Linked DNA regions of Astyanax mexicanus. The protein of the gene in region 1 interacts with the protein of each later gene in a biochemical or structural test. Links are inferred from orthologs where the notes say so. Each region holds a gene or a part of one and is shown on either strand. Other genes may lie near its edges. The genes, in order: ikbkb, map3k14a, tnfrsf1a and map3k1.

What was found.
Region 2: of the proteins of ikbkb (region 1) and map3k14a, one has a biochemical effect on the other in vitro, tested with the Homo sapiens proteins (3 studies listed by BioGRID and IntAct, with this or other methods). The link is inferred for Astyanax mexicanus from reciprocal best matches to the Homo sapiens genes IKBKB and MAP3K14.
Region 3: of the proteins of ikbkb (region 1) and tnfrsf1a, one has a biochemical effect on the other in vitro, tested with the Homo sapiens proteins (2 studies listed by BioGRID, with this or other methods). The link is inferred for Astyanax mexicanus from reciprocal best matches to the Homo sapiens genes IKBKB and TNFRSF1A.
Region 4: of the proteins of ikbkb (region 1) and map3k1, one has a biochemical effect on the other in vitro, tested with the Homo sapiens proteins (3 studies listed by BioGRID and IntAct). The link is inferred for Astyanax mexicanus from reciprocal best matches to the Homo sapiens genes IKBKB and MAP3K1.

Annotation. Positions count from the first base shown.
Region 1 is NC_064419.1:217,775-225,232, forward strand, and holds the start of ikbkb (inhibitor of nuclear factor kappa-B kinase subunit beta), read left to right. Parts: upstream 1-4,447; 5' UTR 4,448-4,667; intron 4,668-5,867; 5' UTR 5,868-5,900; coding exon 5,901-6,005; intron 6,006-7,458.
Region 2 is NC_064426.1:23,745,632-23,752,581, forward strand, and holds the start of map3k14a (mitogen-activated protein kinase kinase kinase 14), read left to right. Parts: upstream 1-3,948; 5' UTR 3,949-4,074; intron 4,075-6,950.
Region 3 is NC_064413.1:39,278,152-39,285,629, reverse strand, and holds the start of tnfrsf1a (tumor necrosis factor receptor superfamily member 1A), read right to left. Parts: upstream 3,017-7,478; 5' UTR 2,804-3,016; intron 544-2,803; 5' UTR 495-543; coding exon 429-494; intron 286-428; coding exon 153-285; intron 1-152.
Region 4 is NC_064427.1:27,156,006-27,163,740, reverse strand, and holds the start of map3k1 (mitogen-activated protein kinase kinase kinase 1), read left to right. Parts: upstream 1-4,715; 5' UTR 4,716-4,759; coding exon 4,760-5,268; intron 5,269-7,735. UniProt on the Homo sapiens protein: Component of a protein kinase signal transduction cascade. Activates the ERK and JNK kinase pathways by phosphorylation of MAP2K1 and MAP2K4. May phosphorylate the MAPK8/JNK1 kinase.

The DNA.
Region 1 (7,458 bases):
AAATCATACATATCCTAAATCATACATACCCTAAATCATATATATCCTAAATCATACATACCCTAAATCATACATACCCTAAATCATATATATCCTAAATCATACATATCCTAAATCATACATATCCTAAATCATATATATCCTAAATCATATATATCCTAAATCATACATACCCTAAATCATACATACCCTAAATCATACATATCCTAAATCATACATATCCTAAATCATACATATCCTAAATCATACATACCCTAAATCATATATATCCTAAATCATACATACCCTAAATCATACATACCCTAAATCATATATATCCTAAATCATACATATCCTAAATCATACATATCCTAAATCATATATATCCTAAATCATATATATCCTAAATCATACATACCCTAAATCATACATACCCTAAATCATACACATCCTAAATCATATATATCCTAAATCATATATATCCTAAATCATATATATCCTAAATCGTATTTATATTTTCATATGCAGTAAAATATGCAAAGATCGAACACATATACTGTTTAACAGGTTTGGGCTGCAAAAAACAGACTCACAAATCCAAAGTCACTTCTACAGCCCTGACTGTAAATAAGGATACATATAGAATTGAGAAGTATAGAAATCGTTATGATTTTTGAGATGTTTGAATGAATTCAGCTACTTTATGTTGCATGAATTACTGACACAGATGTGCACAGGTTTTGTCAGTAGAATAGATTTATCTGGAGAAGGTCTCTCTGGAATGGTGGAGCTCCATCCAGCACTTCAGTTTGGTTGGGTCAGTTGGGTATTTGTGGGGGTAAAGTGGGGGTGTTGCACTGTAAAAATGTTCATAAATGTTTACAAAAATGTAAATAGAATAATCATTTTTTTAGGTAAGATTACATTTATTTACAGCGATTATGTCTCAAGTATTTTGAGTTAGGTGAACGTTTGACATCTTTGCGATGGAAATGATCAACTGGACCGAGAATGCTCCATGCTAACAAACAAAACACCTGCAGTGATGCTGAATTTACTCATTTCTCTGACCTTGATGTTTCTCATTAATTACCTGCAGCTTTGTCAGATTGTCAGATTGTCAGATTGTCCGGCCTCAGTGTTGGTGGCTTTAAGAGCAAGTTACCTTTTTCTGTATATTTTGGATTTCCTTAACATTTTAAATAAGCAGTGTGCAGGTCTTTACAGTGTAATAAACAGTATATTATATTAATAAAAGTGATAAAATGTAAATGTGTGTCACTATCAGTTTTCATGAATATGTAATATACCCACAGTAATCACAGTGTATTTAAATGATTGAATATCTGGTGCTGCGTGACTCAGGCGTGTTTATATTCAGGACTACTGCCCTGTATCATCCTGCAGTTCACTCACTAACAGGAAGCTGTGGTGTAAACACACTCCTGTAGTTAGGGGTGTTTTATCCGGACGTCACTTCACCATCAGCGTCACGCTCACCAACAGACAACGACACACTGCCCAACAACACCGTCACCGCGCCGCCTCCCTCCCCGTCACTAACACTAGTGATCAGACCGTCTCTCAGATGTGGAAATGTGGGAAATAACTGTGATAAATGTGGGATGATTTGAGTTAAATATCTAAATGCTTTCGGTTAAGTTAGACTGAGTTGTTTTCTGGTGTTTATTTAGTGGTCACCAAATCAGACCAACATTAATTAAATACCATGAAGATGCAGCTCATCCAGATTCCAGATCACAAATATTTAACAAACTCAATCAGACACATTTATTCAGTTACTGTCTGAAACTAACGGTTCACTTTGAGATGATTTGGAAATGTTTCACGTTGGCAGAACAAGCACCAGGAGTAAAGCAGCATAAAGTTATCCAAAAGCAGTGTGTAAGACTGGTGGAGGAGAACATGATGCCAAGATGCATAAATTCAATCTGTGATTAAAAAACAACCAGGATTATTCCACCAAATATTGATTATTTCTGAACTCTTAAAACTTTATGAATATGAACTTGTTTTCTTTGCATTATTTGAGGTCTGAAAGCTCTGCATCTTTTTTGTTATTTCAGCCATTTCTCATTTTCTGTAAATAAATGCTCTAAATGAGAATATTTTTATTTGGAATTTGGGAGAAATGTTGTCTGTAGTTTATAGAATAAAACAACAATGTTCATTTTACTCAAACATAAACCTATAAATAGTAAAATCAGAGAAACTGATTCAGAAACTGAAGTGAAATCTTAATTTTTGCAGAGCTGTATATTAATATGTTATAATACTGTAATTAACTAAACATACTTTAAATGTTTGTGACGCCATTCCCACTTTCATCATCCAACACCGGAGGTAAATAAATTTACAGTGAAACCGTGCTGTTCTCTTCTCTAAACACTCTTCTGTTTTGCACTGGAATGATGGAAAAACAGATTACACAAGAAATACTGATTTAATCATTGTGGCTTTTCTTTGGTAAATCAGACTCAGTGTAATCTGAGGGTCTTTGCTGAGAATTTATCAGCAGGATTCTACCCTTGTGAAAAAATATTTTTTTAATATAATATTAGTGTACTTGAACTACATGTGGAATAATTATCATATACTTTTCTGCCTATACATATATCTTTACCTGCTTAATTTACCTAGTTTTGTACTGGTGATGTACTTAATAAAATACATGCTTAATATTATTTTATAAAACTGTGCATTTTTATCACAAAACTATACTTTTATTGAATTCAATAAAACTGTACTTTAGTGAAATTTGCTAGCAAAACATTTTTTTTGCATATTTTGTGTTGCTTATAAAAATTAAAACTGTGCTGATGAACATTTCAGGTTTTAAATAAAGTTAACTTTATAGGATATCTTCAAATACACAGCATACACAAATATACTTAAATTGTATTAAATAGTGTCGTTAAATAGTGTATTAAATATTTGACTAGTACACTGATATAATTATATAATTTTAACTACAATTTTAATAAAGTACAAATTAGTGGTTCCAAAAAAACATAACTTAGTACAGTCCTAATTCAGTATAATTTAAGTATACTTTAAGTACAGGAGTAAATCAGATCAGAGAGCAGAGCCTCTGTGTTCACATCCTGCAGAACAATATTAAATAAACACATTTCCTCAATCTGAACCAAAACTGCGGAGGAAGTGAGTGTGAGGAAGGTCCGGGGTAGAGGTGTGTAAATCTGTTCACACAGGGAACTACAGCCGGAAACACCGAGCTCACGCCTGTACCAGGAAATGAACACATAGACTCAACACTGCCTGATGAGGGACAGGGTCAAGATTACGTTTACTGTAATATAAAATTCGAAAAATGTATTTTACTTATTAGAATTGGCTTTAGAATACTAATATATGCTCTTTAAATGTCTTCATAATAGTTTTTTTTTCAATATAGTTGCATTGTATACTTTAAATATCATAGTAACTCTAAATTGTTATTTATGAGTGTTACAAAATGTTGGAAACTTGTATTACCAAAGTTTATAAAACTATTGGTTCCTGCCATCATTTATTTACCTTTTACACACTGTAATTCCCAAACATTATTCAAATATTTTGAGTTAAGCGAACATCTGTGCCCACATACACATTCAATCAGAGATCTAGCAGTTTACAAGGGGCACTGAGTGATGTATGGGTTTAGGGGCGGGGCAGAAGGGAGAGCAGTGTGCCTCTGATAGCAGTGAGATGCAGATGGTTGGATGTCGTCAGCAGGGGGGCGGTATTATTGATTGATTGACTGATTGCTTGATTGATTTGCTTATTGTGAGTATCCATGTACCAAAGTACACAGAAACATCTTCCACAACTATAGCACAGTTAAATCTGTGAAGGCGCTACAGAGGCAGAAATAAAATCCACCATAATAAAAGCCTTTTTTGTAAAGGTTTGAAAATATATAAATATAAAAAAAAAATACCAAGACTGGTATGTTTCTTTACCTCAAAAAGGGACACGTTTCAGCTATTAATGAAAAATAAAATGGTTTACAGGGTTTTAGTGACTCTTTAGGTTTTAAGGATTTTAAGTACACTTTAATAGAAGAGATTGTTTTAATATTAACTTGAATATATCTTGATAATTATTTCTTTATTAATAATTATTTTATAAATATTTATTAGTACATTTATAATATACTTTTTTAGGGTAATTATTCAGTAAAATAAATTAATTTATCAGATTTTACACTATAAATGCAGGATTTGTCTGATAAAACGAGGCGCTTAGTTTTCCCACCCGTTTTCTGACATTGTCCCACCCAATGACTGTATCGGCCACATTCTCAGCCAGGATTGGCTAGACGTAGAGAGCTTCTGTCCCCTGATTGGCTTGTTAGATTTAAGTATCCAATCCTCTCCGAGAGGAGGCGGGGTTTACCTGATTACAGGTGTGTAAAAAAACGCAGCTCAGTGTTTACGGGAAGTGACTTTTCACTTTTCAGTATGAGGAAGTGTGTGCGCGTGAAGTTTTAATGGAAGATTCAGCTTTAAAAACTACATTTTACCGCTTTATTAAAGATTAAAGAACAGATATAAACACTGGGTATAACAGCGCGGTAGTTACATCGTATTTAACAGTGTATTTAAGTGTTTAGAAGCGGTGACTTTGATCCTGTTGTTGTGAAGGAGCGGATTCAGGTGATAAAGGTAATGTGTTGTTTAGTTTTACTGTTTTATTCTTATTTTACTATTAAATAAACAGATAAAGTATAATGCACACTGTCTCTCACATACACACAGCTCATTATTCACTGTTTTAAAACTATAAAACATCATTTTCCTCTTTATTAACTCTAAAACTGGAGTAAACAGAGCAGAGCTGCTGTAGTTCTGAATGTACCGCGTGCTGATAAAAATACTGATACTGATATAGATAGAGCCCACGCGCGAGAGTTTTAACCATAATACTAGAAATATCATTGGTTATTTTTGTTTTAAACATATTTGATTGGTTTCCTTTATCTCTTTTTATCTTATTTTCACTTCATTTCTAAAAATTCCTGTTCTTTTTATAAGTATAAGCTGCAGTCCTATATAAATTTCCTTTGTTTTTAATTTAATTTTATTAATAATAATAATTAATAATTTAATTAGCAACTAAATGCCCCAAACAAATACAAGTACATATGGTTGTAGTTGGTGTGGTGTAGTGGATAACACCACCGCCTGCCAGTGAGCTACGAACAACATGTGGGAGACTGGGGTTCAATTCCAGAGTCCTTGGACTAGACTCCTAACACTACATTGGCCCATTTCTGTAACAGGAATAAACTTATAAGTCACTCTGGATAAGAGCGTAATAATAACCGTAAATGTGATGGTTATTGTAAAGAATAAATAGAGTATTATACCACAGTTAGTTCCGACCCTGCAATGTGATTGGCTGAAAGGTGTTCTATGAGTGCCTTTATCAGCCGGTAATGCACTGTAACTAGACTCTCCATGTATTACTACGCCCACATACAGGTAACCTAGCAACGATGCAGCGCTTACAAACCAGACAGCGCAGCTACAAACAGAGCAGCAATGGAACTATTTTAACCAAACAGATCCTATTTTCTCCTCCTCTTTAACTCTTTAAAATCTTTCAATAAACAGTGATAATTGAACTGTGGTATAATTAAGCAATAATACACTCCTGTTATAGCACTGCCTCTTGAGAATTATTGGGAATCATCTTAAATCTAACCTCAAGTGATGGTTATATATATATATATATATATTCAGGTGGCAGCTGTTTATCAATAGGGCATCCCAAACTGTATGAATTTACTGTAAAATAAAAACAGCAACAGGTTAAAGTGTGTTTAATTCTTGTCTCTTTTTTAATGATTAATTTCTCCTCAGGACTGTGGAGAGAGCTGGACCTGAGGGGTCAGCATGAGCCGAGCTTCTCCCATGCAGCCCCAGAACTGCGGACCCTGGGAACTGAAGGAGAGACTCGGGACCGGAGGATTTGGAAATGTTACTCGGTGGCAGAACAAGGTATAAAACACTGTCTAAAACTTATAATAATAATAATAAACTTTATTTTTTATAGCACCTTTCATACATAAGCTCAAAGTGCTTCACAATAAAATTTTATAAATTAGCAAAATGTAACAGTAATATAAAACAAATAAAACAATTAAAAAGTAACAATTTCATAAAATAGTAGGAAATAAGACATTTATATTAAAATAAAATATAAAATAAGATAAATGTAAACAAAAATGATAAATTAAGAATAAGAACAACAAAAGCATTTACATAAAAAAAATATGCTAGTATAAGCAGTACAGAACTTGTAGAAAGCTGAACAGCTAAAGGAAGGTTTTTAGCTGTGTTTTTTAAAACTAGTAACACTCGATACCTGACGAATATTAATTGGTAAAGAGTTTAATATTTTCCAGATAAAAATCCAGATAAAGAGCTGTATATTTTACACCCTGCGCAGGATGTCTCGAGATGCTCATCGCCATCTTACACCCCGTCAACATTCCTCGTTTAAACAGCAGCAGAGCTATTTAAATTTGCTTGTTTATCTTGGTAACAGAAAACACAGGAGCTCCACTGACTGAATACAACCTAGACAGATGCCAACAGTCAGACGTTCATCGCTATCTTGTAATGCTGGTCATGTTGCTGTGCTGGTCATCCTGTAGTCCTTTATCAGTATTTTCATTAGGTTTTCTATTCTGTGGGTCCTGAGTATTAAAGAACAGAGTGAAAATTTGAAGGAGGAGAATAATAATAAAGTATAATAAAGAATAATGTTATTATTATTGATCTGTGTTTATAATCTGCAGGGCTTCTTTTCTTCATTTCTCTGAAGTGTCGTTTATTTAGTATCTTCGTTTATGGTAAAGGAAGCTGAGTCAGTCTCACCTCACCTCAGAAATACATCAGAAATACACAGATAAAAATAGAGCTGCTATTGTTTACCACACACCATTACCAACAATAACCTGTTAAACCCAACAGGAAATATGATATATATATGAGCATCCTCTTAAGGTGATCTCATACCGGGTCATCACCTGCCTCACCCTGGCAGCCGATTATAACTTTAAATATGGTGGAAAAGGTTGAAAATCCCCCTTCTCCTCCACCAGTCTTACACACTGCTTTTGGATAACTTTATGCTACTTTACTCCTGGTGCAAAAATTCAAGCAGTTCAGTTTGGTGGTTTGATGGTTTGTGATCATCCATCTTCCTCTTGATTATATTCCAGAGGTTTTTAATTTGGTAAAATCAAAGAAACTCATCATTTTTAAGTGGAATCTTGTTTTTTTCCAAAGCTGTATAGTATCTGGCTGCATGCCGATAAATTATAAATGTGTTCTGAGAGTCACTAATGGTTTTTATTTTAGGCGTCTGGGTCAGGACCTCTAAAACAGCTGGAACTGTAATATTAGTGGAGGTTTACGTAACTGTGCTCTTATTATTCTGCTCAGA
Region 2 (6,950 bases), on another chromosome or scaffold:
CTTTCAGACTCGAGCCTCAATTCGCCTGACCCGCCCACACACGCGAAAACAGACCAATGACAGCGCGCGAAGCCTTGACTGACGCCTCGCCCGTCCAATCGCACAATGGACTGATACCTCAGATGACTTTCTGCAAGTCCTCCCGCTACGCCAAAGCACAACGGGCTTGTTATCGAGCATAAATAGATTGCTTGTGTTTTGTGTTTTGACAAATATGTCGTTTTCTTAGCACTTGCAAATGATATTAATGCATTATTAGCTCAATGAGAGACTCCGCGTCCTTTTTAATAAGATTAATTTGTGCAAAATATACTTATATAGATAGTTTATATATTTATTATCTTATATAGATAGTTTATATATTAAAATAAAGACTGTATGTCTTCAACAACTCCATATAGAACTGCTCTATTTAACACCCTTTTAGCTAGTGCTTTAAAGTTTTAAAATCTTTTAGTTTAACGCTTCATGAGCTTTATCCTGTATTGTTATCAATACTGTAAAATGTGCCCAATGAAAATTTAAGAATAAGAAGTCGCCCTCTAGTGATTGTAGGCCTCAACACAACCAATAGTCACGTAACCCTTTTAGACCTGAATTATCTCCAGTGATGGAAACAAATGTAGCTATGAATGCTATTTTCTGTCTGTAATGCACAGAAAAAAAGACTCTAACATTAAACTATAAAATCTATATAGCAAATAAATCAAATTAAGTAAAATATTGAATAATGATTTTTAATGTGTGTGATATGTTATGTCATATTGACCTTCTTATTTTATAAACCATCCCTAAACAGTAAAAAATGATTTAAAAGTGCTCTAAATCACATTAAATTAGTACAAATGTATTTAGTTACTTTGCCGCAATTGCTCTAATACTGTTTTTCAGTGTTTTCCAAGTTTTATAAACTTGTTCCTTGGCTGAATAATGGTCTATTTTGATAGACAACAGCTCTCAAATAGTGTTATGTACAACAAAACATTAAAAAAGTAAAGAAAATACATGATGTCCATTGTAATGGATGTAGCATCTGAAAGGGTTAAACCATTTCTCAATCCTGGACCTTATTAGAGTTCCTTATCCTCTCCACTGGTGAATTCTGGGGTGGGGTTTTAAAGTGTGTCAGCGCAATAACGCCACAATTATATATTTGAAGATTGTAAATACTGAATCAAGAATGAATACTATTTTATCATACATTTGATTCAACCATTTATTTACTAGCCCTTTAAGAGATGCAGGGGGTGTGGTAATGCTGGCATTTCAACATTGAATCAGCATTGAATTAACCTTGATATTATGGTTGAATCAACATTCCCAGCTGGCACACAACTGAACTTCAACGTTGAAATATGGTTGAAGTAGTCTGTAGTTGTTTCAACATTGAAACACCACTGCAACAACATATCATTTTAAATGGTTGTTCAAAAGTTTGTTCATGGTTGTTCAAAATGTCCTCAGCCTTCTGCCTTTTAAATTAGCATTTTACATTTCATCACCATACAATTATAAAAACAGATGGATGGAGGGATAAAACATGGTTTTACTTTCATTTGCATACCTGGGAGTATGTTCATGTTCTATTTGTTTCACGGTTGAGATTGGTAGTGGTGGGTAACATTCTTTATTTTCAACTTTACTACAGTGATGTTTATTGTTAACACTGTTAACCATAGGAAACTCTAGTTTTAGCTACTTGCAGTACTTGCTTTTTGTTTTCTAGTTGTACCGTTCCTACTTCTCAGAGATGTATATTCTGAGAGAGAAAATAAAAATAATATGCTAATTTTTTTCATCATGGCATACAATGGCATACAATCCCGAATGTGAGCTATGGTTTATTAAAGGTTGAACATACGACGTTAAAACAATGTTGCCATATCAATGTTGATTCCCTTTTCAAAATCAACACCAAATCCAACATTGATTCAACCATAATATCAACATTGATTGATGACCGTTGATTCATCGTTGAAATGCCAGCTGGGTTGAATCAACTTTGGATTTGGTGTTAATTCTGAAAAAAAAAAAGTAATACCCATGATTTCTGAAGAAATGAATACGCAGTGGAAGAAATATTTTGTCCATAAAGTATATATAGGGTCAATCTATATATAAAAAATGTATATTCATAATTCTAATCCCAGACAGTTTTGCTTCATTTTAAAATGTTGCTCTAATAATGTATTTGAAAGGTTTTGTTTTGGGTGGCATGTACTTCTGTAACATTGGCATTTTATCTCTGTTCAGTGGTTTTGATGTTTGCACAGCAGGTGGAGCTACAGATAAATCTATACCTAAACATCCCAGTAAACATCAACTCCTGATTTCCATAAAAAAAAACATTGAGATTGCATATAAAGATGTGTATTAATGTATCTAAAGCAAATCAAGTCATACAGCTTATTACAGACAATACTAAAATGATAGTATTCACACCCAGATGTTCCTATTTCTGATTCAGTGAATATTAGACTTCTGTACTTTTCCTTTCATTTTTAGCTTTCCATTCTTCAAATCCATTCATTATGTAATGTTTCCTAAATTAGAAATGGAAAGAGGTAGAACATTTGTGTACATATAGTTTTTGTTTAGGGGTAGGCGATATGATATTGTATATAAATATATTATATAATTACTTTATATATAATTACTTCATCTGTCAGTTTGGGTGGATGACCATTTCTTGGTACACTGTAAGCCCAGATAAGTTGAATTTATTATAAAAAAAATGGAGGAAACCGGTTGCCTTAAAAAAGTTAAGTAATGGGTTGTCTCTCACATATGTCTCTTAAAGGTTTTTCTTGTTGTTGGTGAGGAAGGCGACATTTATACACGTATCAATGTGCACATGTGAGGCGTTTCAGGGACAGATTCGTTTACATTACACACAGATACAGGTCACTTATATTTGTGAATGTGGAATGAGGCTTGTAAGCCTAACAAACCTCTGAGGTCAGAACAGAACACGTTCTAAATTACAAGGCTAAATTACACACAACTGGACTCTATTTGACAAATTGACTTCTGAGGGCAATTAATTGCAGTAGATTTTATTTCCACGTGACACTTTTTTAGATTTGTATATGAATAAAATTTGGAAAGCATAATTTTAATTCTAACAATTAAAATTAATAAAATAGATTTAAGTGTGTGGTTGTAAGGTAAAAAATGAGAAAAACTTAAAAGAAGAATGAATACATTTGAAATCCACTGTATATGGAAAAAATAAGAGACAGATCAGTTTATCTGATTTTGCTATTTATAAGTACATGTTTGAGTAAAATGAATATTGTTGTCTTATTCTATAAACTACGGACAACATTTCCCCCAAATAAAAAAATTGTCATTTTGAGCATTTATTTGCAGAAAATGAGAAATGACGGAAATAACAAAACAAGATGCAAAATTTTCAGACCTCAAATAATGTAAATAAATCTCATAAAGAGTTCAGAAATCAATATATTGTGGAAGAACCCTGTTTTTTAATCACAGTTTTCACACATCTTGGCATGTTCTCCTCCACCAGTCTTACACACTGCTTTTGAATAACTTCATTCCACACATAATGCAAAAGCAGTTCAGCTTGGTTTGAGGGCTTGTGATCACCCATCTTGCTCTTATTTATATTCCAGAGGTTTTCAATTTGGTAAAAATCAAAGAAACTCGTCATTTTTAAGTGTTCTCTATTTTTTCCCAGAGCTGTATATACAGTGTAACACCATAATGCACAGGATGTAAACACTTAAAGTCTATGATGAGCTAAATGTGCCAGAAGGAACTGAACAGTTGTTATACATTTTTTGCTGCATTTCTTTGATACAGAAGAGGCATTTAGCATTTTGTAAAGACCAATACAGTGTCACAATTATTAACTTCTCTGCTCTATATTGATAAAGTGTCTATATACTGGTTTTGATATCAGTCAGAGAGCCCAGAGCTGAAGCTCTGCTGAGTATCTGGAGGAGGAGGAACCTCGAGCAGAGGCAGCAGCAGCTCTCAGACCGCAAGCACAACGACACACATACGAGACATTCGCCTGCGTTTTCTTCACTTCTCACACATTAACCGGTGAGTTTACTTCACTTTCACTACTCATTGTGTGTACAGTGTCTGTTCGCTGAGCTGGAGGTGACGGAGGAATCCACTTTATTCGAGTTTATTTCAGAGAGAAAAGCTGTTTTGTTTAATAAGTGAAATGGCGGATTAAAGAAGGAGGAAGTGGAAGCAGCTGTATCGCTAGCTCAGCCCTCCTCGACTGAACTCGGCTGTAAACCTCTGTTTCAGCGCTGAAGTTAGTTTTATGGACGGTTGGCTGTTTAACCGAGTCTTAAACTTATATTTTTTGACCATTTTTGCTTCCTAGCTTTATTAGGTTAGCGAGTTTTTGTAGGAAATGCTTTACTTTATTAGGAAGCCAAGTTGTGCAAAAACAGTTAACGTTAACTGCTAATTAAGGTAGTTAGCTTAGCATACATTTACCTCAGAAATATTAGCTAGCTAACTAGGTAACCGACTGTGTTTAGGTGTTTAAATGTTCTGTTTTATTAAATAGCATTTAAAGAATATGTTCTGTAGTTTATGGGTTAAACATGTTTAGATAGGTTAGCTGTCCTGGTTCAAATTATGGGTGTAACGTTTGGCCTTCATTTGAAAGACATCATTTCCTGAACTGTTAACTCTAACGCTAATTCACTGCAGGCTCCTTAAGACCTGCCTGCTAATGATGTTCATGAAAGGTGAGCAGCATCACACCTGCTCTCTTACCTGGATTACAACACAATTACACCTCCCCTACCAACTCTGAACAACTCAACAACTCTTTAACTTTAGTTTGAAACAGATTAACAATGTTGGGTCCCAACATTTATTATGCAGGTGCATCTAAAAAAATTGAGTATCATTGAAAAGTTAGAACCTGAAACTTATATGTTACATAGATGTATTACACACAGAGTGATCTATTTTAAGTGTTTATTTCTTTTATTGCTGATGATTATGGCTTATATGGCTTACAGCTAAGGAAAACCCAAAAATCAGTATCTCAGAAAATTTGAATATTACATAAGACCAGTTGTTACTTTTGGCAGTGTGGTCAGTGTGCCAGGTCCTTCTGGAAAATAAAATCCACATCTCCATATAAGTTGTCAGCAGACGGATGCATGAAGAACTGTAAGTTTTTCCGGGAAAACACTGCACTGACTTATATAACACAGTGGGCCAACAACAGGAGATGGCATGGCTCTCCAAACCATCACTAACCATCAGTAAATTTAATTTAATTTGAAAATCAAGGGACCAGAGTCTGGAGGAAGAGTGGAGAGACACACAGTCCAAACTGCTTGAAGTTTAAGAAGTCATGTCATCTTCTGGTGTTGGTCCACTGTGTTATATCAAGTCCAAAGCCAGTGCAGTGTTTTCCCGGGAAAATTTTTACAACACTTCATGCTTCCCTCTGCTGACAACTTTTATAGAGATGCGGATTTCATTTTCCAGCAGGACTTGGCACACTGCCCAAACTGCCAAAAGTCCCTGTTGGTCTTATATAATGTATTAATTTACGGAGACACTGATTTTTGGGTTTTCATTGGCTGTAAGCCATAATCATCAACAATAAAAGAAATAAATGCTTATTTTTTTAACTGAATTACTGAAATAAAGTATTTTTTCAATACTATTCTAATTCTTTGGAGATTCACTTGTACACTATATCTTTTCAGCATCTTCTTTTCAATATGGGTGCAGAAGTAGCTTAACAAAAATGACCAAAAATTGTATTTTAAAAATAAAACCATATTAAAGTACACCAGATATATGCAGCAGCTTCTAAACTAATGTAAATATGATTAATATAGGCAACACATTTAGCGTATTAGTTTTTGAATGTTTTTTTGTTCGTGATTATCATCAGAGATGCTAGGAATATTTATTTTATTATCAGAATAAATTTAATTGTATTTATACTGCACTAATGACTCAATAATAGAGCACTAATAACATGGGATATGATGCTGTTTTATGAACGCAAAACCTGAAAGGTAGCTGGCATAATGACTGGCATGGACATAGTCCACATTGTAAACTGAATATAGCTTTGTATCCATGTTGTATTTTTAGCTTCTCTGTGTAAGCAGGTGTCCTTGGTGTGAGTGTGTGTATGTTGTGTTTAGTAGATGTTGCCTGAGCAGCCAGAAAATTCCCACACTAAAATGTTCAACACTGAATATCTGAAATATAAACAAATAAATCAATACTGAATAAAGAAATACTGTTATTTCACATCTAAATTTAAAAGAAATTTGAAATTCAAATACATTTGCGTCTTGGTTTACTTGGTACAACATGTTTGCATACATAGTATTAGCTTTTGTTATACTGCAGCTTTGACATTCATTTCTAGAAAAATACTGTGCAAACTAGAGTAAGAAAGTACTCACATTGTACACAGTTATACCATTTCTTTAGAAATTATAAAAATGTGGAAGGTTTTGACACTGAGAAAAAGATCCATTGTCTGTATTTGAACATTCTGTGTTCTCAAACATCTAGCTAATGGAAGCTTCATTAAGCGTAAATCATACACCTGAAACTTGCTTTATTATCAAGCCCCCAAAACATTTTTATGTAACACTTTCAGTTTTGTTAAGGCCTTTTTGCATACTTTTAATATTGAGTTTCATCTTAGTTTTTATATTAGATTAGAATAGATTTGATTAGATTTCGGATTATAAGTAGGCATGAAATTATTGGTACTTGTTGAATAATTAGTAGTTACTAAATAAAAACTATGCGCTACACAATTAGCTAATATACTCATTTGTACTACTTACATATTAGGTACTGAATAATTAGTATGTCATAATATTGAATAAATACTACTTATTGAACAATTAGCTAATAAAATATTATACTATTTTTTTCCACTGACAAAAAGCAGGTACTGAATA
Region 3 (7,478 bases), on another chromosome or scaffold:
CTACATAGTAACCATACACTGTCATTTAACGCTCCACGTCTGTTCAAAGTTTCCTCAATTCTTCTCTGGAACTGACTTTGCCCTAGGCATGATGATTATCTCATACCCCATGCCCACTTCCTTTACGGCATTCTCAGACTCTGTTACTGTACCTGGTGGACACCGGTCACAGCAGAACCCAGTCCCACTCTCGTACTCGTTATCTGCGCATTTTTCTGATTGGCTGCTGTTGTGTCCAGAAGGGTTTTCATACAGTGCTTCCACTGCTGTTAGACTTAAAACAAACTGTGTGGAGGAAATTAACATTAAATTAAGAACATTAAACATTACAAGATCTGAAAACATGAACATTAGAAGTGTAATTATAGTATATGTATTGTTAATATATTGTTTCACTAGTGTATATATTAGGTTAGGTGGCTTCTTACCAACAAAATCAAAGTGTGTGCCACACAACTCCTCCTCCATTTGCTTCTGTCATGCCCAGCATCCATCGTGGCATGGGGCTTGCACTTTTACTCCATCAGAGAGTACAAGGCAACACTGGAGACAAAGACAAGGGCAAGGAGGCGGTGAGAAGTGAGATTTTTTTTTTTATTTTAGTCAGCTTATGACAACAAATGCCTCTTATATGTTGCTACATATCTGCTAAATTTAAATTTAAATAAGATCTGATGTAGCTGCTGTTAACCAGCTGAATTTTATTTAAAAAAACACAGTTAGTACTCTACAGTATTAGAAGTAGCAGCAAAAAAAGGAAGGGGAATCTGGAGGAACATCACATGAGCCATAAAGAGCCCAATGCTATGCTAGAGTGTTGTGTTGAGTGTACAAACTTAATCACCAAACATCTGTACCAATGATCAATACCACCTCAGGGGTGACTGGTGTAGACAGATCCTAAACAGGCCTGACACAATAATTACATTATCTTTTTATCATTCAAAATATGGCCATGACATCAATCATTTTTGCAGAACAATTCTGTTCACCTGTGTATTCATTTACATAATAATTAATTTCACCAATATTTAAGCCAGTTGTGCAGTGGCCAATGCATCAGTAACGGTGTCTCCATACAAGGCCTGCACAATATATCATTACAGCATCAATATCGCAATGCAGCCACATCGCAGGGCATGCAATATTTTGTGTAATTTCATTCACTTTATTTCATTTTTGCTGCTTAAACTAAAGAAAAATCCACATTCTTCTCATTTTACATAGGAATTTTACAAGGTTTTGACTTCTGGCAAGCTTGCAATATATATTGCAGAACAATTAAATATCACAAATGTATTTTTTCCCAAAAGCGTGCAGCCCTACTGCATACACTGTGCAGACTTTGACAGGTAAAGGTGAGTTACCTGAGCAAAATATGCATCAAATATTTAAAAGGCAGTATGAATTTCCATTAACATACATATACATCTTCCAGACTATTATTATGTCTTTTAGAAGTTGTAACATTATGGTGCAGCATAAAAGGGTCTAATAACAACAATGCTATTGTTTATCACAATTTTTTCTGACGTTGGTAATTAAAAATAGCAAATAAAATGGTCTTATAGTGACAATAATATTGCTTATCACAATTCTTTATGGGATAATATATGATCCAAATTAAATGTGCATATTGTGACACAACTATTCGAACTAACGATGTAACCAGTAAATTTGATTAAAAGGCATTAAGAATTGAAATCATACATCTCCCAAACTATTATTATTATTATTTAAATGATTTTGCTCTTCCAGAGATTTCCGGAGAGATATTTAAAAAGTATATGAGTGGCATACAATCGTCCAATAACAACAATACTATTGTTTATCACAACTGTTTCTATGACAACATATGGTCCAAAAAAATATGAATCAGGAATAATAATACCAAAAAAATACCAAAGAAGCTAATAAAATCTCACAAACTATTATTATGCATTAAAATGTCTTTTGAAGGATACGTATTTCTGTGCTGTTATTTTAATAATTTATGACAGAATAAAATGGTCCAATAACATTATTTATCACAATAATTTCTGGGACAATATATCATCCAAAAAGAGTAGTTATTGTGACAGGAACAATCCTAATATTGCCAATAGAAAATAGTAAATAAAATAGTCTTATAATGACAATAATATTGTTTAGTACCACTATTTATGCGATAATATATGGTTTAATTCTTTTTTTATCAACAATACTATATTTTATCATTTTTTTTCTGTGACAATATCTTATCTAAAAATAGTTATGATGACCGGAACAATCCTGACGTTGGCAATTAAAATGTTAAATAAACTGATCTAAAAAGATTTATTACAGTAATCATTTAATCCAAAAATATATTTACTGTGACAAGCCTGTTAAAAAAAGATTTTTCCAATTTAAAAAAGTACTATTTAATCTGTAGGTGATTTAAATGGATTTTTACTGAATATTAATGATTTAAAACAGATAAAAGGACATTAAGAAGTCTGACTTCTTAAGAAGTCTGACTTCCTTGAAATCTGCTTCCCTTTCAGTTTAAGTGCTTAAGAGTTGCGCAACTTTCTTTCTGACTGATCAGTTTTACAGTTTAAACCGCCAACAAACACAAATTAACCAACAGTCACAAAATTTAAGACATTTACTCACTAATCTCACTGTGTACACTATCGCCCCGCTGTTAAAAACAAACCACCGATTATAATAATAAATGTCACATAATTTTTTCCACTCTTTTTTTTACTTTCGGTGTCGCTCTCCGCCCACAGCTCACGATTCTAATCTAGTTTCCGTTTGCTGGTTAAACTAAACTTACCTTCTGAACCGAGTGAGCCGAGCCTCCGCTTCACCTGCGGGCTCTCCTATCCAGCAGGAGCAAAACCGCCGCGGCCATAAGTTCACAATACAGTCGATAAAAATTAAATCACAGTGAAAAATCAGCAAACAGAGCGGAGAGGTCCATTTCTCCTCCGCCACAAGGAGACAGACCTGACTGGAAACGGACGGCGTCACTTCTTTTACAAAATACTCCACCTAAAAAAGGAAAGAGCTCAGACCAGCAGAGGGAGACATAGCCAAACCAGTTTACAAGTTTCTTAACAATAAGTTAAGAAACTTATTAAGTAACAATAAGTTTCTTTATGAGTTTCTTTGATTTTACCTACCTAATTGATCCAAAAAGACTGGTGGAGGAGAACATTCTGAAGGCCTTGCAGCTTTTTTTTCAGGCATTTCTCATTTTCTGCAAATAAATGCTCTAAATGGAAATATATTTGTTTGGAATTTGGGAGAAATGTTTTCCATAGTTTATAGAATAAAACAACAATTTTCATTTTACTGAAACATTTACCTATACATAGCAACTTTTTTCACAGGTGTATGTGTATATATATATATATATATATATATATATATATATATATATATATATATATATATATATATATATATATATATATATATATAGTCACATTAACTCACCTCAACATGCCTTCTAAGGAGGGAAAAAAAACTCTGCCTGCCCATACTAAAAACTAATTAAGGTGGGCGCCTTTCTCTCTCTCTCTTTCCCACACGTGATTGGATAAGAAAGTCTGTGTTGCCAGGTGTGGGGGACCTATAGGCAGATTTTCACATGCGTCAAGGCACTCTATTTTTACCATGGCCAAATATTGTGGGTCATTGTCATGGTGGAAGACCCCTTGCATGACCCAGCTTTAGTTTCTGACTGAGAATGTAAAGATTCTACAGTATATATATGGCCTGTTCATCAGCCCTTTAATGCAGTTAAGTCTTCCTGTACCCTTGGCAGAGAAACAGCTCCAAAGCACAATGTTTAACTTCTCTGTTTGACAGTAGGGATGGTGTTCTTGGGGTCATATCCAGTATTTCTCTGTATATTTGATACCATAAAGCTCAGTTTGAGTCTCATCTGTACACATGTTTTCAAGTCTTTTCTGAATCATTCAGGTGTTCACTGGTAAGCTTCAGATGGGCCTGTACATAAGCCTTCTTGAGTATAGAGACTTTGTGGGCACTGCAGAATCTAAATTTATTATGGCAAAGTATGTTTCTAATTATTTTCTGGGCTCCCAGTTACCTTGAAATCATTAACTCATCAATCAATAAGCTCCTCACTTCTTTCTTAGAATCATCCTTATTACCCCGCGACTTGAGACCTTGCATGGAGCTCCAGAGAGAGGGTAATTGACTGTCCAAATTCTCACACCAACAGTGTCCTGTTCCTCACCAAGCTTTGTTCTTATGGTCTTGTAACCCATTCCAGCATAGTGCAGGTCTACAGTCTTGTCCCTGATGTTTGACAGCTCTTTGGTCTTGCCCATGATGGTCAAGAGGACTGAATGGAAGAGACCAATTCTATGATAAATGCCTTTTATACACATAAAGAGGTGAGATAAAAAATCCTTTCTTAAAGGAACAGGACTAATTTGAGTGCTTAATGAGTGCTTCATGTTTTTGTTCTGTATATAGCTTGTATTTTATTAAACTTTACTTCTCATTCAAAATACATTTGATGGAACCATTCTGACTAATTCATCTAAATTAATTACATTACATTACACTACATTACATTACATTTACATTACATTACATTTGGCAGATGCTTTAGTCCAAAGTGAATTACAGTGAATTCCAGTACATTTTGAAAACATAAATGTTGGCAATATGGTAAAAAAAAAAAAAAGATACACAATATTTATGTTAGTACATTTTGAACAAAAATGCATTGGGAAATATTATGTCTCATGGAAATGTATTTAAATTTTATGTTATAATATTTTTTACCATATCGCCAAGTTCTACCAAGATAATAAATAAATACTGAAGAGTTTTTATTAATCTTATCTATTTTTAATTTACCTTGCCTTATCTTTGATTTTCTTAAATCATATTCTATTTTATCACTTTATCTTAGGGTTGCAAACAGATGGTGCTAACGGTTCCTTAATTCTTGTTGAGTGCCAGGATGTATAATGGTTTACCAAAGGTTGGGTAAGAGTGGCAGAATTATGGCATCTGAAACTGAAGAAAAAAAGGTACAACACAGAGCCTTCAGTCTATATCTGAAAGTGCAGAGTGTTAAAGCATGACATTCTGTGGTAGCTCAGTGATGTCATGAATTTGATTAAAGCGTAATGAGTCAATTTACCCCAATTTCTGTCATTTCTATGTCAATCCTTTCACCATATAAAGGTTTCTGAGCTACTAGCAGAATGCTCTCATAAGCCTCCTGGAAGACGTTAAGATCTTAACTTCTTTAGAAAGATGACAGATATCCAGATTATCGATATGAAATATCTTCTACATCATACTGACTAATTTTCGAAATGTGTATTAGATTTTAATCAGGATACAGTGAAATATACTAACCCTGGAGTTTAAAACAGCTAGACCTTCAATAATTATTCTGCCAGCAGCACATTCTTAGGGGCAATACTGAGCATTACTAATGTTAATCTATAGAATGAAACAGAGAAAATTGAATAATGGGCAAGGGATATGGGGGTCACTCCTAACTTCTGACACACTAGTGACCCTTTAACAAGAAATGTGATGCTGTGAATGTCTGATAAAAGGGCAGTGAATGAAGTATCACTTTGGGTATTTTTTATTAGTATCATTCACTTTTCCAGCCTTTTCTTGCACTGTCCTTGCACAGTCCTTCTTAAGATGCATTGCTCCCATCATGTTCAAAATGAGTTTTTGTTTTTCATGAAATGTTGAAATGCCTTACGTTTAACATCTTATATATGTTCTATGTTCTATTGTGAATAAAATGTGAGTCTATGAAATTTGCAGAGCATTGCAATTCTCTTATTTACTTTCATTTACATTCATTTTTGAGATTTGGGGTTGTATTTATTTAGATATGTTTATGTTTTAGTAATAAAATATTATCAGGTAGGTGTGGCATAATGCTCTTAGATATTATAAATGCTCAACCCGATCAGCATTGAATCAGCAAAACTTGTACATTATGTTGGAGCAAATGAACAAGTGTATTGGTATAAATCTCAAGTGAAAAGCAAATGAAGCATTTAAAAATAATCAGTGGTTTTATAGCATAAGTGTTCACATCTGATGAGTTTAAGATTCGATAATGTACAGTTTATTAAGCCCTTTTAAGTAGGCAGGCGTCACACAGCGTACAGCTTTACTGTACTGGTAGATTTATCAGGCTTGTGGCCTCTTATCAGGAAAAATCAAACAACATGGCCACTTACAAAAAGCATTAGGTGTCTGGCCTACATGTGGGGATTTTTTTCTGCAAACTCTTTGTCACGTTTGTTTACAAAAGCCCCTTTATTCTAAACTAGAACACTAAAGCAGTGTAATGTGCTTTCTCTATTAGAACAAGGGGCCATATTCAGCAGCCATTCTTAGAAAGAAGCCTTTTCTTAAAACTTCTGAAAACAGTTTTCACAAAGATTCTGACTTTCACTCCTGGTTTGTTATTTCTTATTTGGAATTTCTTTAGTTTATGGAGACAGTGTGATCCTTCATTATTAGAGCATTGCTGTGAAGAGTGTTGGGGTTTAAATGCACATTATGAACCTATTTTTTCTCAAGAACAAACTGAAAAACATTCTTAGGAAGTGAATACTGGTGAATGAGGTCCTTTGATCTGTGCAATGTTGTAAATAATCAGTGATCACAGGAAGTTGCATTTCCTTTGAAACCTGCGGTTAACTTCCAAATGTTAGTAGATACCTTTTCTGATTAATGGATTCAGCTAAATAAAGTTAAGCCCATTTCTAAAACTGTAGATAAGAGTATTTCCAATAGAATAAGACTACCCCCTTTGAATAATGGTGATGCTCCATCCAATACTTTGGGGAGAGCTAGGCAGTTATGGAGGTTTATAAGGTCGGGTGGTGATTATCCAACATCCTAACCCCACTAACACTCTTGTCAGTGAATGTTATTAAATCATGTGAGCAATGTTCTGAAATATAGTAGAAAGGCTTTTCCAGGAGAGTAGAGAGAGTTACTGAATACAATGAAGGTTTATATGACATCCAAACAATCAATTGATCAATCTGATCAATATTTTTGTGTTACTTGACATGCTTTTTGTACTCAACTCTTACTTATTATAGCACTTTAATGCTATAATTAATGATTCAAGCTGTACTGCAGTTCTAATAACTCTGTTGGCCCCTTCTTTCGGGTTGGATCTATATATATTTATGCTGTCTGCACCAGTTTTTGACCTTTCTTAGCAGAAATCAAGACTAATATTGCATTATTCTTGTCTTTGGCTCACTGCAGCCTCAGCTTTCTGTTTTGGGCTAAAAGAAATGGAACCTTACTTGGTATTTTGGTGTAACAGACCATCAGCCTTGAGGTTGGATGTGATGTGAGTTCTATGCTTTCCTGTACGCATGACGACTGACTCACATATTCTGCGTCTTCAGAAATGAACGTGACGTGTACGTGAGGTGCAGTACACGCACAAATCTCTATCC
Region 4 (7,735 bases), on another chromosome or scaffold:
GGGCTACAGGGCTCAGCTGAGCCAGTCTGGAGCGTTTTTAAAAATTTGTAAGTTCTTCTGTGTATGAAATAAAATAACCCCACTAACCGGATAATACAGCTCTCTACAGTTCATCTTTCAGCCCAAGCAGCTAACAGCAGCAGTTTAGAGCAGCGTCACGGAGGCACTGCTCGGATTACATTATAAACAGGTCAGTTAGCGCGCTGCTAACCTCAGGATGTTTATAACTACGGAGTTTAGTGGACACACCACGGCTGCAAGGTTAGACTGTTGAAGGCTACTGAAGACTACTAAAGCAGGCAACGCAGCGTAAGCAAAAAAAAAAAAAAAAAAACACGCACACACACCAAAATACAAGTTAAGATAAAATATGAAAACGAACATAATAAAGCATAAATAATTACATTGAATTGCGGGCCAGATGTATGTTTATTTTGTTAACCCGTGAGGGGCCGTATGAAACCGCGTCGCGGGCCGCATGTGGCCCGCGGGCCGCTACTTTGAGACCCCTGATCTAGACTGTATCGAGATAGATTTTTGATAGTCTGGACAGCAAAAAAAAAAAAACATATTGAATCTTAATTTAAGCAAATCTTAAATCTAAAGGAGGTCTGAAATGTGATTACAATCAGATCTGTACAGATGCGTCTCAGTCTGAATGCTCTGGTTTCTCAAAAAGTACTTGTGAAAACAGTTCAAAAGAAAAATAAGACACTGTTGTATAATTATAGAAAATAGAATCACTGATCCGTGCTGAATATTCGTTTTGAACCCACTCCAGCATTTAATGTAAACTTGCCTACTTCAATTGACGTGATTCCACAAAAGCTCTGAACTCAGCTGAAGTTAAAAGTGGACGGCGCTGAGCTGAAGAGCTGAGGCGAGCTGAGATGACAGAAGAGAGAGCACAAATAGTTTGTGGAGCGTTCCACGTGAGCAGGAAATGCAGGAGCTGCAGAGGAAGCCCTACTGGCTAAGAATAGCTCTCAGTGATAGATTGGATCCACGTTGACAGGAAATGGTTTTTGCTGGCCGCCCAGTACCTAAAGCTCCAATGCAGCTCTTTTTAACTTTACCAGCTCTGGAAAACAAAGTGGAGATGCCTCGCTGGACATTTAAGGATAAAAGTACGCCTGAGAAAAACTGAGACTGAGACTGAAGTGACTGCAGGTGCCAAAATTTTATATTGTCAAAACAATATCTCCAATGTTTGCCAATTTTTCACTTTTTGTCATAACCTGCCAACCTGACATTATTCTTAATGCTGGGTGAAAAAATTATACTGAATGGGTCAAAAGAAATGCTCCAAACAGAGTTGGGCTCAGATTCTTTTACGCTGACTATTCTTGAAAGTTCATATTTTGGAGATACAAGATTATTACATAATGTAAAAAGGGTTTTTAGGAAAAGTAAGTTTGTTATAAAATTTTAATAGATAGTAATATTTCACATAGCACATTTTGGGACAGTTTTCCCAAAAAAAAAGTATTATTCTAAAACCTAGTCTTAGACTACACAGCCATTTCCAGTGGAGATTTACCAGTGAAAGAAAAAGAAAGTCTATGACTAGGTTTTAATCTCTGTGGAAAATAAAAACAATGTAAAAAGCACATTGCAGACAGCTGCTATTATATCCCTGATCATTTCAAATTATAACTTTCTGTTATCTAACTTTTAGAAGCTATGTGGATGGTGTGGTGCAGTGGATAACACCACCCCCTGTCAGTGAGCTACTACATTATGTGGGAGACTGGGGTTCAATTCATATACTGCTCTACACTAATAAGAGTCTTGGGGCAGACTACTAATGCTACATTGACCCACTTCTGTAATAGAAATAACCTTGTAAGTCACACTGGATGACAGCGTCAGCAAAATGCCGTAAATGTAGAAGCATTAAACTCTGCAGACATCTGTGGACAACTTTCTCTATAAAGAGACATTTTACCCCAAACCTCTTAGAATAACTTTGTCTTCATTTGTCATTTAATTCCAAAGAGATTTTAGAAACTGGTATAGTTCCCCTATCAAACTGGCTAAAATCAGATTACTACTAAAATAATATCTTGGCTCATTTTGTTCATATACTGTGCTGGTCCCCTAAGAGAAAACAGAGCTTAATGAATTATCTTTTTATAATAAAACTGTGATACGTAATCCCTCATTTGTCCACTAATAAAATAGGTTAATTCCTTTCAGATGCTAAAATCTGGTTTGTTTCTGGGGCACTAAAGGCCCTTACATAACCTGGAAGACGGAAACAACACAAAAGACAGATTTATTCAGAAGAACATGTAATTTGTAGGTTCACAAAGCCATCACTCTTCCCAGGCCACCGACTGGCCCAGAAAACCGGCACACAATGAACCACACACAGACACACAGCCAATAATTTCTCAGCTGTTATGAGGTAAAAGGAAATAATTAACTATGATGTTATTTTGATATGAAGGCATTAGCTTCACTTTTCAAACAGCCATGATGTGATGTTATGAATTTACCCATATTAGCTTTACCGTCCAATGTCAAGCAGCCACATTCACACCAGTGAGAGCTAGCTTAAAGGGTTTTAAAAGTAGGATTTTTTATAGATACAGATAAATCCATAATAAAAGTCACACAAACCTATTTCAAATTACATGCAAAGATTATATAGCATATTTTGTTAATAGATTTTACTTCTAAATCTTCTTTAATAACCCAAACCAGATAGCAACATTTTATTGAATGACATTTTTTCATTTCTAACATGAAAACAATGTTGATCTCCGACATCAGAATTTAATTATTATAATACATTAATTTGATGTTGACTTCAATTTGATTAAATTTAATATTATTTGTGTTAAACTTTACTTACATTAAATTAAAAGGAAATTGTTTTTGCTGGCCGCCCAGTAACACAAGCTCCAATGCAGCTCTTTTTAACTTTTTTCTTAAGTGAAGATGCCTTGCTGGAGGCATTTGTGAATAAAAGTTTGGCAGAGAGAAACTTATAGTGTAACACAAACCTGAGATTCAATTCACTGCAGGTGCCATGATTTGATATACAATTTTTATCAATTTTTGCCAATCTGACGTTATTCTTAGTGCTGTGTAAAAACTTCTTAAAAAATAAGTATTGTTTAATTTAGTATTGTTTGTATGAAACTTAACTCACATTAAATATATACTGCATATCTTCTTTGTATTATATTCTTATGGCCTTAACTGTGTTCTTGTAATGGAGATTTAAGTGTAGAAAAGGCCCAAACAATGAAAACCTTTTAGATGAACATTAATTACTCAACAATATAAATAAACTGTAAGTGAAATATTTGAGTGAAATAAAGGAGCTGGTGAATTTAAAGGCAGTGCTGCTAACTATTCAGTAGTGTTAAGTCAATGACAGTCCCCGTGTTGAATGAACGCTCCGCGTGAGAATGTGATAGTTCTCACGCTGATCCGACTCTGAACGAATCTTTTTAAACGATTCTTTTACCTAAATCAGTCGAACTAACTCCCAAATCAAGCAAACTTTAACCATAACATACACACAAGTCCTGTTCTATACGAAAAGCTTAAAATAATTCTTCAACAAAAAGCATTAATCACTTCAAAAACTTACAAAAATATCTAAATAATGATATACAACCCCATACACCAAAAAGACATTTTTAAATTATATCATATGACAAAATATTCATATATTAAACTTTTATCAGCAGCTTTTGCATAATTATTTTTATTTTTTATTTTTGGGGTATAACATCCACATTGTCTTATATGTTACACTACACTAGTTTTATTGCATTTTAAATGAAGATCACATGGTATCTACAGTATATAGTGTAGTTAGACAATAATACTAAAATTGGAAAACATGTTTGTTTAAAAGTTAATAAATAAAACAGAAGTCAATAGTGGTGGTACATTTAATGTTTTTTTTTATAGAATGATAGTTTTTATGTATTGCTTTGTAAATTGTAATTGAGTCAAAAAATAATAATAATCAAAAAACATAATCAAAAAGTAGTCATCAAAAATTGACTTTAATAATAATAATTATTATTATTATTATTATTATTATTATTATTGTTGTTATTATTAATATGGTTTGTTTGTTTGTTTAAAGTAGAAATCCGGTGTGAAATGGACTTGGGGTGTAGTGAAATGTGATAACGAATACTATTTTTAAATTTTTTTTTGGCCCGCCACCACCCCTCTCACTTTATTTCACTCTGCAACAATGCATTATTCTTAAGGGAGGACATATATTAATATAGAGAGAGAAGGAAAAAGGGAGAAAAAAAATCAATAGCCCTCCTTCGTCACCCACAGCATTTCCAACAGCCTTACAATGATAGTGATAGGGACACGGTTTCCGTGGAAAAGTACAAAATAATAAAAGTATATATATAAATAAAATTTAAAAAGCTAGTTGCAGCCTTGCAAATAGTAACAAGTCTTTTCAGAGTCTTTTCAAAGCCATATAGTGTATGGTCAGCATTAGAAGTTTACTTTGTAAACTGGGCAATTGTTGGGAATCGGTTCGTTAAATATAAGTGAACCTGCTCCTGTCAGTTTAGTTGCAGGTGAGTTGGAGTGATTCGATTCACTCTGAGGAGTCGGTTCGCTCGGATGAATCGAACTCTCCATCACTATGTAAACAGAGCGGAGTGCCTGCCCTCGCTCCGCCCCGCTTCCCGCGTGCCCCCCCTCCCCTCTCTCCACTCACTCACCACACAAACCTATTAAGTGGCAAAATTCAGCACAGAAAATGGCGACGGCGGGGAGCCGGACCTCGTCGTCAGGACCGTTGGACTCGAGCGGCGGTTTAGACGCGGGGAACTCTCCGCGTGGAAGCTCCAGCGTGCCCGGTCTCCCGAGCGGTGCCGCCGGCAAGGCGAAGCGAAGCGCGGCGGAGAGTTCGCAATGGAGACGTAAAGAACTGCGGAAAGTGCGGAGCGTGGATCTGGACGGGTCCGAGTCGCTGCTGCTGGCTTCCGAGAGCGGGGCAGCTCCCTCAGCCGCGGCGGCGCAGCTCCACTTCTTATCCGCGTCCTCTCCCGGCGCAGTGCAGGCGACTCTCCTGCAGCAGAGCCACCGCGTCCAGCACAGCAGCAGCAGCTCCCTGACTGAACACCCGCTCCTCGATAAGCAGAGCAGCGGCGGCAGTCTGGCCGCAGCCGCGCAGGAATTGCTTAAAACTTCTTTCAGAAGCAGCAGCGACCAACTCTGCGCTGATAATGCTGCAGCCGGAGCTCCAGGAGAACTGAACCAGCAGAGGTAAGAAAGATTCAAGGCTGATAATGAGCATTTTTGGGGCTGATAAGGAGATTTTTTACTCCAGTACTGTCTCTCTGCCGCTGCGATTCACCTGGATAATGTGTCTGTAAAACTTGTATAAACTGTAAAGTAGCTCTAAGAAGTTCTCAGAAACTCCAGCTCGTTGTTCTACTGAAGTCAGACTCTGAGTTCGAAACTGGGGCTGAACAATCTGTATGATATGTGATCGATATTAGTCCTGTCACGATAAGATTATTATGTGGACGATATATCGTCCCAGAAACTTTTGCCTTATTTTATATATTTGCCATTTAAGAACATTTAATACTGCAGACATAACCATAAATCAAAATTTAAAGCAATTACACACTTTTTCTAAGTTGGCAGAAATTAAATTAATTATAGTTTATTAAAAATGCAGCTCTGGAAAAAATGGAAAAGAGACCACTTTAGTTTGGCTTGTGATCATCCATCTTCTTCTTAATTCCTTTTCAATTTGGTAAAATCAAAGAAACTTATGATTTAAGTTGTCTCTTATTTTTCTCCAGACCTGTATATACTTTTTTTCTTCACCTTCTGCAGCCTGCCCACACTGTGTGTATGGAGTTGTAGTTATGGAAGCATTGGTCTTGTATATCATGCCTGTCTAAAATACTGTTCATTTTATATATGTGAACAAACATACAAATAAACAGCTAAATAAACATATGTTAATTTCCATTTGTTGTACAATAAGTCGATAATGTACTTATCGTGGCAGGCCTAGACGATATTGATCTTTCATCACTGTGTACTTTTCTGAGCATCCTGTAGATATAGCTGTGATATAAGTGTTGGTACAGAGTTTTAATTACAAATCCTCTCTTATTGCACCGTGATTTGGGGTGTGTGATGTATCACCCTAAACTAATATCACAATATTTCTGTTTTTGTGATAACAATATTTTTTGATACTACAAAATACTACTCCAACAAAATAAATGTATATAAATAAATGCATAAATAAATTTTAACATAAAAATAATGTAATGTAGCCAAAAAACTGTACCAAAATACTAAGTGCAGTTATACAAAAAGTACCCTTTAAGCTTAACAGTCAATAAAAGACTGCTTGAATTACAATATTGACAAACTATCATCAGTGTTTGTCAGATCAGTACTGTTTAATTGGTTTGGGTACAGCACGTTTTGATTTAGGATAACAATTTTCAAAAGCAGTTGCTGAGAATCTGCCTCATGTATTTTTGTCTGTGTCAAAATATCACAGCAAATATTGTGATTATAATATTCATATTTATCTAGCTGCATCTCATTTGTTTTTATGTTCGGTTTGATGCTCATCCAAAGTGTCCTATTAATTATTAATCCATAGCATAATTTATTGCAGAACTAATGCTGTTTTCCCATCATATGAAATTAGACCTATTTATTAGAATACTACTCATATGCATATTATGGAGCATTATTGATCTGCATTTCTTTTACATATTGTATTTGCTGCATGGGTTGTATTGACGTGGTTGGGTGTTATACTTTTCTCTTTTTCAGTTTTTATTTTGTACCATAAAACTGGGTTGTTTTTTGCTGAGCATCCTGCTCCAATCAGAATCACTAAATCCGTGTCGCCCACCTGCTGAGGTGGGCCCCCAGATGTTATCAGCTTAGTAGAGTTGCGCAGTTTTTGATGTGAGGGGTGAACAGCTTTAAATCTTTCTGATCTGTCTCCCAATATTAAACCACAAAGATGAGGATAATATCATCCAAACATGCATTTATGTGTTTAAGCATTAAAAGCCTTTAATTTATCAGACTGGACGGCTTTGATTTACATTAGCAGCGATTTCGGTGTTTCGTGGTTCAGCTTTGGTAGGCACTCCAATGTTGCATTTAATTCAGGAATCGTTTTACTGCTGTAAGTATAGGCCTGTGTATTACTCTGTCGTGGCTGGAGGTCTGCTTTTTACGTCCATTAAGTTACATTGAATATGATAAATATATATTGCCCTATTAGAATTGCCCAGGTGATCCAGCAGGAGTGCTTAAGACAATATTAACTCTGGCACAGCCTACACAATGGCTCTTAAACTAAACCCAACACTTCTCCAGACCATGTGTATATGTACTCTGTCACTTTTCCCATAAACAAACTTGCCTTAATATGACCTTGGGTTGTTTCCTAGACAGGAATTGAACCTAGTCCTGGACCACATATCTATTTTAATAAAGAATATTCTCATTCACAATGCCAAGCCATAAAAAAAGCCACAAAAATGAGATTTGTGGTTTGATCAGTGTTTTTTTTCCCCCCATCTTTAATTGTTATCCACTTCAGCACAACACAAAGTGATGCAGGCACCTTATTTTCACTGTTGGGAGCTTGTTTACTCAAGGTTGCCTAAATGATTGCCCCCCTGCTGGCTTTTTCCCTTAAAAGGAAAAGCTGATGGTAAACATTGATGAAGTGGAG